2 linked regions of the Stegostoma tigrinum genome follow. The protein of the gene in region 1 binds, or shares a complex with, the protein of each later gene. Links are inferred from orthologs where the notes say so. Each region holds a gene or a part of one and is shown in the gene's direction. Other genes may lie near its edges.

Evidence for each region.
Region 2: psmc3 (region 1) and adrm1 share a complex: the UniProt entries of both Homo sapiens proteins name them as parts of the 19S proteasome regulatory particle complex. The link is inferred for Stegostoma tigrinum from reciprocal best matches to the Homo sapiens genes PSMC3 and ADRM1.

What each region holds. Positions count from the first base shown.
Region 1 is NC_081370.1:11,567,652-11,573,388, reverse strand, and holds the start of psmc3 (26S proteasome regulatory subunit 6A), read left to right. Parts: upstream 1-2,652; 5' UTR 2,653-2,844; coding exon 2,845-2,952; intron 2,953-5,737.
Region 2 is NC_081372.1:18,365,029-18,370,765, forward strand, and holds the start of adrm1 (proteasomal ubiquitin receptor ADRM1), read left to right. Parts: upstream 1-1,489; 5' UTR 1,490-1,623; coding exon 1,624-1,836; intron 1,837-5,737. UniProt on the Homo sapiens protein: Component of the 26S proteasome, a multiprotein complex involved in the ATP-dependent degradation of ubiquitinated proteins.

The sequences.
Region 1 (5,737 bases):
TTGGAAGCAATTCTGAGGGACAGAACAAATCCACGTTTGGAGAGGGGGGTATTAATTAAGAACAGTCAGCATGGTTTTGTTAAAAGGAGTTGATGTCTGACTGACTTGATTGAATTTTTGAAAGAGGTGACAGGGTATATAGATAAGAACAATGCTTTTGATATCATTCACTTGGACTTCAGTAAAGCTTTTGATAAGGTCCTGTATGGGGACTGATACAGCTCATGGGAATCAAGAAAATTTGGCAAATTGGATCCAAAGTTAAATGAGTGGCAGGAAGCAGAGGGTGACAGTTGAGGAATGCTTACCAAATGTGGTCCACTAGGCAATCACATTCCACACACAGATCCAAGCAGTCCAGTAGGGTCCCACAGTGATCAGTGTTGGGGCTCTTTATGTTTGTGGTTTATATAAATGATTTAGATGTGAATGTAGCAGGATTGATCAATAATTTCATGTATGAGACGAAAATAGGTTGGATGGTAAATAGTAAGTTACGGAAGGATATAGACAGGTTGGTCAAATAGGCTGATTTGATAACCGGTAGGACTCCAGCAAGCACCGAGGATCAGAGGGACTTCAGTGCGCACGTACACCAGTCCCTTAGGTTTGAGAACACAAAGTGGATACAGTCTCAGTGGGGCAGCATGGTGCTCAGCAGCTAGCTCTGCTGCCTCACAGTGTTAGGGACTTGGGTTCAATTCCACCCTCAGTGACAGTGTGTGGGGTTTACACATTCTCCCTGTGTCTGCTTGGGTTTTCTCCAGGTACTCCAGTTTCCTCCCACAGTTCAAAGATGTGCAGATTAGGTGGATTGGCCATGCTAAATTGCCTGTAGCGTTCAGGTATGTGTACCTTAGGTGGATTATAGCAGCATGGGTCTGAGTGGATGCTCCAAGTATCAGTGTGGACTTGTTGGGCTGAAGAGCCTGTTTACACACTGTAGGGATTCTATGATCTTTGACAGAACAAAACAATTTAAGACAGATAAAGAAAAAATTATTTTCTCAGACAGTTGAGTATCTTTAGAACTTTTTGCCACCGAGAGCTGTGGGGGTACAGTCCTTGTGTATATTAAAGGCTGAGATAGATTCTTGATCAGTAGGGGTGAATCAAGGGTTATGGGGAAAAGACAGGAAAGTGGATGAGAGGAATGTCAGATCAGTCATCATCCTAATGCATGGCAGAGCAGGCTCAAGGGGCTGAATGGCCTACCGCAGTTCCTATTTTTAATGGATCTCTGTAAAACATTACAAAAATGTAAGACACCCAGCTCTATAAAATCAACGTTCTTTGATCTTTTAACGAAGGAGGGTTGGCTGATTTAATATTTTTCAAGGCCAATAACCCATTCTCATATCAAATATACCATTTGCTCCTCATCTCAAAGTTAATTTGGTTCTGAGACTATGCTGTCTGGTCCTAGACTCTCCCATGAAGGGAAATATCCTTTTAGCGTTGACCCTGTCAAGCCCCTTAAGAATCGTACACTTATTCTTCTAAACGCTAGTGAGTAGAGTTCAAACCTGTTTAGCATTTGCTCATCAATCCTCCATACCAGGCATCACCCCAGTGAATGTTCTCTGAACTGCATCCAATCACACAACTTCCCTTGAGTAAGGGGACCAAAAAGGTTCAGTACCCCAGGATTGGTCTCACCAGCACCATATGCAGATGCTGTAGCTAATAAGATCATGTGTAATTGCTGGTGTTGGGATCTTGCTGTGCTGAATCTGCTGCTGATTTCCTACATTACAACAGTGCCAACACTTCGCAGCCTGCATTCTCCCAGGAACCTGCTGCAGCAGTGTGGCTTCCTCTACATTGGGGAAACCAAGTGGAGGCTTGGGGACCGCTTTGCAGAACACCTCCGCTCGGTTCGCAATAAACAACTGCACCTCCCAGTCGCAAACCATTTCCACTCCCCCTTCCATTCTTTAGGTGACATGTCCATCATGAGCCTCCTGCAGTGCCACAATGATGTCACCCGAAGGGTGCAGGAACAGCAACTCATATTCCGCTTGGGAACCCTGCAGCCCAATGGTATCAATGTGGACTTCACCAGCTTCAAAATCTCCCCTTCCCCCACCGCATCCCTAAACCAGCCCAGTTCGTCCCCTCCCCCCACTGCACCACACAACCAGCCCAGCTCTTCCCCTCCACCCACTGCATCCCAAAACCAGTCCAACCTGTCTCTGCCTCCCTAACCTGATCTTCCTCTCACCCATCCTTTCCTCCCACCCCAAGCCGCAACTCCATCTCCTACCTACTAACCTCATCCCACCTCCTTGACCTGTCCGTCTTCCCTGGACTGACCTATCCCCTCCCCACCTATACTCTCCTCTCTACCTATCTTCTTTTCTCTCCATCTTCGGTCCGCCTCCCCTCTCCCCCTCTCCCTATTTATTCCAGAACCCTCACCCCGTCCCCATTTCTGATGAAGGGTCTAGGCCCGAAACGTCAGCTTTTGTGCTCCTAAGATGCTGCTGGGCCTGCTGTGTTCATCCAGCCTCACATTTTATTGTCTTGGATTCTGCAACATCTGCAGTTCCCATTATCACTGCTGCAGCAGTCTGTTTGGACGCTTGACTCCCAGCAAGACCCGCGCAGCTGCCCCAAACAAAGATGGCGGCGACCACGACAACACTCAGCACTTTCGGGGCCCACGTGATGGACTCAGGTTAAAATCAATTACTGCTGGGAACGGTAGATTCAACGCGGAGTTGTGATCAAACCTTTGAATTTTTTTAAAAAAAAGGAGGTGGCGAGGCCGGCGTCGGTCGCGCGGGTGAGACTGCCATTGACGATCGCAGCGGCATCAGGGCGGAGAGCATCGGCCTGTACATGTACGGTGCAGCCCGGTTCGGTGAAAGTGCGAACAGGAATCGAAAACACAGAGCAGAACGGAAAATGGCGTCTCTGAACGAGAGGTCCGTGTGGGATGAGGTGGAGGTGAGATATAGAAATATAACAATATAAAGGTAGACAGTCATATTATTGTATAATATTGAGAGAGAGAGAGAAAAGGAGAGGGAGAGAAGTCAACTGAGGTGAGGTGAAGTTAAGAGAGAGAAATGTATGAAGTTAGCTCGGTCCATTAGGATGAGGTGGAGGTGAGGGAGAAATAGATTCCAGTGTAGCACAGAGATGGAGTATGGGGATGGTTTGTGTTAACTTTTGACAAACTCCAAGATTCAGGAATGGTTCATTTGGACTGGAAAGTAACAAATATAAATCCATTATTTAGGAAGCGGGGATGGGGGGGGGCGGAGGTGTAGAGAAGGAAACTATCGGTTAAAGGTAAGTAAGAAGTGCTGATGCTGGAGTCAAAGATAGTGTGGAGCTGGAGGAACATAGCAGGCCAGGCAGCATCAGAGGAGCAGGAAAGCTGATATTTCGGGTTGGGACCCTTCTTGTGGTGTAGTGGTAATGTCCCTACCCCTGGATCTGAGTGGCCTGCGTTCAAGCCCCACCTACTCCAGAGGATTGTAATAGCATATCTGAACAGGTTGATTTAGAAACTATGCGTGAGTTACTTGTTATGTCAGTTGTGAAAATTGATCACCTCAGGAATATATGCTTGAGGGTGTTAAACTCAAGCTAATCTGGAAGAGTTGGCTTTTTTGTTTTCATGACAGGGAAATTGTGAGTGATTAATTTATTGGAATCCTTTTGAAGGTGGAACATGCTGTGGAGAAATGGGAACCTGTCGATGTACATAGTTAGATTTCCAGAAGACAACTGAAAAGATGTCAGGTCAAAGCACAAAACAAAAGCTTATGTGTAGGGGATAACATATTAGCATGGATCGAGGATCAACTGGCTGATTTTTGAAAGAGCATTTATGAATGGGTTTTTGTCTAATCGCAGGATACGACGAGTGAAGCCCCACGGGTGTGTGCTGAGACCTCAACTTCTTAGACTTTACATCAGTGACTAAGATGAGGGGAGTGAAGGGCCATGATAATTAAATTCCTGTTAATATATAAATAGGAAGTATGTTGTGAAGAGAACAAAGAGAGTTTTCAAATGGATACAGACAGATGAGTGAGTGGGCAAAAATCTGGCACATGGAGTATAATGTGGGAAAGTATGAAGTGCTTCACCTTGGCAGGAAGAATGGGGAAAAAAAATCAATTTTGATCATTTGGAGAATGACTGCAGATGTCCGTGGTGTAGAGGGATTTAGGTGTTCTAGTAAGTGTGAGTGAGTCACAAAAAAATAGTATTAAGGTACAGTATGTCATCAAGAGGACTGGCCAGTAGTTAGTGTTCCTCTGTTCAAGTAGGGATAATCCAAGAAATTATAGACTGGTGAGTCTCGCATTAGTGGTTGGCAACCTGTTGGAGAAGATCCTTAGGGATGGGATTTGGGTGCATTTTGCCTAATTAGGGACAGTAGAGCAGAACAGTGGATGTCATGTATGTGGATTTTAGTAAGGCTTTTGACAAGGTTCCCCATGGTAGGCTCATCCAGAAGATTAAGATGCACAGGATCCACAGCGATGTGGCCATTTGGATTCCAAATTGCCCTTTGTCTTCCATGCACAAGTCAGTGGTGGAAGGCTGTTTTTCTGGCAAGAAGTCTGACTAGTGGGTGTTCTGCAGGGAACTGTACTGGGACCTCTGCTGTTTGTGATATATATAAGTATAGCTCAGTATACTTTCAAAGTATACTTTGAAAACGTAGGTGCTTAGGTTAATAAGTTTGCAAATAAAACATCGGGGGAGTTGTTGATAGTGGAGTAGGTTCTCTGAGGAAACTGCAGGAGATAGATCAGTTGCAGAAATGGGTGGGGAAATAGATGGTTTAATCCAGGGAAGTGTGAAGTATTGCACTTTGGGAGATCAAATTTTCAGGGAAAGTATGTAGTTAATGGTAGGATCCTTAACAGCATTGATGTACAGAGAGATCTTGGAGTCCCAGTTCATAGCTCCCTGTAAGTGGCCCCACAAGTAGATAGGGTGGTAAAGAAGGCTTATGACATACTTGGTTTTATTGGTCAGAACATTGAGTACAAGAGTTAGGATGTCATGTTGCAGCTTTGCAAAACTTTGTTAGCCTGCACCTGGAGTATTGCATTCAATTCTGGTTGTCACAGTACAGAAAGAATGTGAGGCTTTGCAGAGGGTGCTGTTTCGCAGGATATTGCTTAGATTAGATGGTGTGAGCTATAAGGAGATGCTGAACAAACTCGGGTTGTTTTTTCTGGAGTGGTGGAGGCTGAGGGGAGACCTGATAGATGAATATAAAATTATGCTGTGCATGAATAGGTTTAACAGTCAGAATCTTTTTCCCAGAGTTGAAATGTCTAATATGAGAGGGCATGCAATTAAGACAAGAGGGAGAAATTTCAAAGGAGATTTGAGGGGCAAGTTTTTTTTTGCAGTGTAATATATGCCTGGAACGTTCTGCCAGGGACAGTGGTGGAGGCAGATACAGTAGGGGTGTTTTAAGGGGCTTTTAGATAAGCACATGAATATGCAAAGAATGGAGGGATATGGACCATGGGTAGGCAGAAGGGATTAGTTTAATTTAGCATCAGGTCTGGCACAGCATGTGGGTCGAGGGGCCTGTCCCTCTGCTGTACTGTTCTGTGTTCTAAAAGGGTTAGTGGGATGTTATCTTTTTCTTACAACAGGAATTTAATATTAAAGTAAGGATGTGATTCAGTTATACAGGACATTGTTGTGACTATGTCTTGAATACTCTGCGCAGTTTTAGTTTTTTTTATTT
Region 2 (5,737 bases), on another chromosome or scaffold:
TCCCTGGAATGATATGGGGAGGGGGTGGAGGGGTGGTGCTGCTTTACTGTCTGAAACTTGTTTGAATCTTTTCTTCTAGATAACAAAGTGTTGAGCTGGATGAACACAGCTGGTCTTGCAGCATCTTAGGAGCTTGTAATGCTTTTAGTGATTTTTTTTTGTAGATAGGTGAATCTATAATTGCTTTGGAATCTATATGATTATTTGAGGAATCTTAACTAAAACCTACTCTTAGTATTATCACAGAATGATTTCATAATTCAAGAGAAACAACTAATTAGTGTGAAACGTTCTATGTCTTGTGCATGAGCAACTGCAGCTGCATATTCTATCCGAGTCCAGTAATCATGAGTCTACAGAGCTACTATTGTTCCACTTGCAAAGACCACATTAAGCAAATATTTTCCCAAGACCTCCAACTACTGTCAGCCATGTTCTGCTGCATTAGCCATGGACAGCCATCAGCCATTTTGTGCTGCTTAGTCATGGGCATCCCTAATATCATATAATCAAAAAGTGTGCACTGTGTTAAAGGAGGCAATTCAACATCCATTATCTGCTTACCATCTTGCTGGAAGAGTAGTTCCTAAGCCCTTCCCCTGTAGATCTGCAAATTACTTTAAATCAACCAATTATCCAATTCTCTTTTGAATACCTCAGTTGAATCCTCCAACATTGCTGTGTAGATGTGCTGGGCAGAGCCGATGTGGTGTATAAACACTGGCAAGGACTAGTTTTTGTAGTGTGTTTTTGTCTGGTTCCTGTGCCTTAAGGCTAGAATATGGCTGTGAAGGTAGTAGGAACTGCAGATGCTGGAGAATCTGAGATAACTACGTGTAGAGCTGGATGAACACGGCAGGCCAAGCAGCATCAGAGGAGCAGGAAGGCTGACATTTTGGGCCTAGACCCTTCTTCAGAAATTTGCTCCTCTGATGCTGCTTGGCCTGCTGTGTTTATCCATCTCCACACCTTTTTATCTTAGAATATGGCTTTGTTTGATTTGATTTATTACCGTCACGTGCACCAAAGTACAATGAAAAGTGTCGTCTTATGTGCTATACAGGCAGATCGTACTATATCGTTGATTACAAAGTGTGGAGCTGAATGAACGCAGTAGGCTAAGCAGCTCCTGAGATGCTGCTTGGCCCGCTGTGTTCATCCAGCTCCACACTTTGTTGTCTTGGATTCTCCAACATCTGCAGTTCCCATTATCTCCAGGACTATATCGTCGTTGAGACTGAAGCAGCTGATCTGCTGGCGAATGAAATATCCAGCCCTTGAGTACAGTGGAGCTGGGATCTTCTATACATGTCAGAGAAGTGCAATACCGCTCTACAGCTTTAGGAGGCAGCACATAGCGCCCAATGACACAGCACTTCCGCTCAGCTGCGCCTCAACCAAACATGACAAAGGATGGCTTACGTCATGATGATTGACGGTTGGGTTAACCATTCAGGAGCCAGAATAAGCTAGGCGGGGACTGAGTAAATCAATGGGGATTGAGGAGGGTGGTTTCAGGTTAGGTTGTGGCGGCCGTTACATGGTGCTGACTTTCGGTGGACGTTAAATTCAAGAAAGGAAGGGAAAAAGAGGCAGAAGCGGTGTCTGGTCTAATTTTCCGTCATGTCGGCCTCAGGAGCGTTGTTCCCCAGCCTGGTAGCTGGGAGCCGTGGCTCTTCCAGTAAATACCTGGTGGAGTTCCGAGCCGGCAAGATGTCGCTGAAAGGCTCGACAGTGACTCCGGACAAGCGCAAGGGGCAGGTTTATATCCAGCAGACTGATGACTCTCTCATTCACTTCTGCTGGAAGGACCGCACCGCCGGCACCGTGGAGGATGTAAGGAAACAAGCCCGTCCTCACACTCCTCCCCCAAAGCCGGGATTGGGAAGGGGTAGTCTAGTGTACTGAAGGGGTTACGGTGGGGAGATGAGGTGCTGTGGGGGATGGGGGGGTGCGTGAATGCGTTGGGAAGGAGGCTGGAGGCTGGGTAAGGAAGTGGGGGGGGGGGGGGGGGGGGCGCGAGAGAAGGGCTTAAATCACAAATTATTTTGAGTAGGAATGGCTTTATGTTTGAGGATGAAGTAAGGAGTTATGGGGTTGTAGGGTTGAGTGTAGGGGGACATTTTTTTGGGTGGTGTCTTTTGTTTGGAGGTCGTATGTGAAGGAGTTGGTTAATTTTTCTTAATGTGATAGTTGGTGTATGGATTTAGAGCGGATGGGGAGTTGAGAGTTCAGAGGTTGGTGAATTGGCTATTTATGTGATAGGGTGGTTGTAGAAAGGGTGTTGAGTTGGCTAGTTTGTGTCGTGCAGGCTGGGTGAAGACAGTGGTGGGGACCGGGAGTTGGAGGGGAGGGGGGGACACTGTTGGTGTGAGAATGGAATTTGCAGGTGATGGTGTAGTAGTTGTTTCAGTTGGAACGGAGTTTCTAACCAAAGTTTTGTCTAAACAATAACCGAAGAATAGCGGATGCTGTACATCAGGAACAAAAACAAGTTGCTGGAAAAGACCAGGTCTGGCAGCATCTGTGAAGAAAAGAACAGAGTTCATGCTTTAGGTCTGGTGACACTTCCTCAGAACGTTCTGAGCTGTGCAGTAGTTTGAAACTTCATGGGTACTGGTTGCCCCCTTGAAATTACTGTGTGTGTATGTGGCCTTTTTCTTTAAACGAAAGGGGAACAGGGTTAGATTGTATGCTGTTTGTGATTGCTAGGGGTGGAGACATTGCTTATGACAAATATCCTTGTTTTTGTTACTTATGGAAAGTTGCCAATTTTGCCAGGTACAAAACAAAGTCATGGGACAGGATGTTCACAGTTTCACATTTCATAGAGTCATAATGTCAGAGATATATAACATGAAAACAGACCCTTCAGTCCAACTTGTCCATGCTGACCAGATATCCTGTATAAATCTACTCGCATGTGCCACTATTTGGATCATATCCCTCTAAGTCTTTCCTTTCCATATACCCATTCAGTTGCCTTTTTAAAAGTTGTATTAGTACCAGCCTCCTCCATTTTGGCAGCTTGTTCCAAGCATGCACTGTTCTCTGTGGAAAAAGTTACCTCTTAGATCCCTTTTATATCTTGCCCCCTCACCTTAAACCTAGTTTTGAGCTCCCCCACCCTAGGGCAATGACCGTGTCTATTTACCCTATCCATGCCCGTTGTGATTTTATAAGCCTGTGTAAGGTCACTCCTCGGCATTCGACGCTTCAGGGAATATAGCCCCCTGCCTATTCAGCCTCTCCCTTTTGCTCAAACCCTCCAACTCTGGCAAAATCCTTGTAAATCTTTTCTAAGTTTCACAATATCCTTCTTATTAGGAGGGAGACCAGAACTGCGTGCAATAATGCAAAAGTGGCTGAACGAACTTGTTCTGTTGCTCATAAATTCATTGAACAATTTAGTTGATCAGACTTAATGCATCATGTAATGTGTCAAGCTGCAGAGGTCAGATGGTCTTGATGTCTGGGTTAATTAGCTATTGGAAATTCTTGTCGCAAATGCTGCCTGTGCTGAGGAGACCAAATTTGTTTTTAGCCATCATGCACTTTAAAGTTTAAGGGCCTGAAATGTTAATTGCATTTCTCATTTAAAGTTGTGACCTGATATATTGTGAATTTTGAGCATTTCATGTTTTTCTTTTGTCTTAGCATATGAACATGAGTTAGACCCAAGTGCAGGCCATTCAGTCCCTCAGGCCTGCCCTGCCGTCCGAAAGATCTCAGCTGATTTGGTCAGAATCTCAAATTTGACATTCCTGCCTACCCTTATTTATGACTTTGCTTGACAAGAGTCTGTCAACCTCTGCTTTTAAAATAGTCAAGGACTTTGCTTCCACTATCCTTTCAGGAAGTGATGCAAAGGCGCTCAAGCTTGAGTGAAAAGAATTCTCGTCTCGTCTAAAACCATAAGACAAAGCACCAGAAGTAGGGCGTAAGTAGCCCATCGAATCTATTCTGCCATTCAGTGAGATCATGGCTGAGCTGACAATCCTCAACTTTGTTTTCCCACCTTTTCCTATACCCCTCAATTTCCTTACTGATTATAAATCTATTTTACCTTAGAATAGACTTTGGTCCAGCCTTGACTGCCCTCTGTAATTTTAAAAAATCCACAGATTTGCTACCCTCAAAGGAACTTCCTTATCTGCCTTAAATGTGCAACCTCTGAGATTATGGTCCTGGATCTATTCTCTCCTGTGAAGTAAAACAACTTTTCCACATTTACCCTTTCAAATCCCCTAGAAAATTTGTACATTTCAATAAGGTTGCCTATCATTCTTCTGATTTTTCAATGAGTATAGAAGCACATTACCAGGAATAGCAGGACTCTCCTTTTTTTAAAAAAAAGTAAACCTGTTATAAACATATCAGACAATAAGGCTGCTGTCTCATTAGAGAGAGATGATGGTTATTTAACCTGAAGGTTACTATACTTAAGGCGAAGAGTGGTTGAGAATCTGAATCCTTCATGGTAACCTTAGCCAGTGTGGGAGTTGAATCCATGCTGTTGGCATCACTCTGCATTACAGACCAGCTGTCCAGCTAATTGAGTTAACCTTGGGCTTGGATGGGGAGGAACTGAAGTGTTCAGGAAAACGTTCTCAATCAATGTATAGATGGCCCTACTAGAGAAGGAGTGAAACTCAACCTCCTCTTGGGGAAATGGCTGAGATGTTCATGAGGGAGCACTCTGCAACCAGTGACCGTTGTATTATTATTCAAATAATAATGAAAAATGGCAGGTCTAATGCATAAGTTTAAGTTCTAAATTGGAGTAAGGTGAATAATTGCATTTTCAGTAACTTTCAAAAGTTGATTGGGGGTGGCAAGTAAAGGAATGTCTGGCCAGTGGGAAGCTTTCAGAAGAGACATAATGAGAGTTCAGGCCCAGCATGTTCCTCTTAGTGAGAAGGGCAAGGCTGGTAGAAGTAGGGACACTCTGACTGGAGATATTGAGGCTCTGGACAAGAAAAATGAGGAGGCATGTGCCAGGTATAGTCGCTGGGATCAAGTGAATTCCTTGAGTATAGGGAGTATAGAAGAGATCAGGAGGGCAAAAAGGGGACCTGAGAGCTTCGGCAGATAAAGTAGAAGAGAATCTGAAAAATTTGTACAAGTATATTAAGGGCAAAAGAGAAACTAGGGAGACAATAGGGCCCTTTAAAGATCAGTGAGGTTGGCCATGGGTGAGATCTGAAACTAACATTTCTTGTCAGTATTTCCCATGGCGAACGATATCGAAGCTAAGGAACTTGGGAAATAAAGAGTGATGCTTTGAAAAGTCCACATTACAAAAGGGGTGGTGCTGGAGGTCTTCAAACCTGTAAAGGTAGATAAATCCCTGAGACTTGAACGGGTGTATACCAGGACATTGTGAGAAGCTAAGAAATAAATTGCAGGGCTTCTAAGCAGAGATGTTTGTATTGTCACATAGTTGAGATGCTGGAAGATTGCTAATGTTGTGCTATTATTTGAGAGGCTGTGAGGAAAAGCAGCAGGTACTCAGACCTGTGAGCCCAGTGTCAACGATGGGTAAAGTTGTTGGTAGAGATTCTGAAAGGCAGGACCTGCATGCATTTGGAGAAGCAAGGACTGACTGGGTATGGTCAGCATGGCTTTGTGAATTGTGTCTCATAAGTTTTTGAGTTTTGTTTTTGAACAGGTGACTAAGTAGACAGATGGAGACAGTGGTAAACCTTGTCTACATGGACTTTAGCAAGGCCTTCAG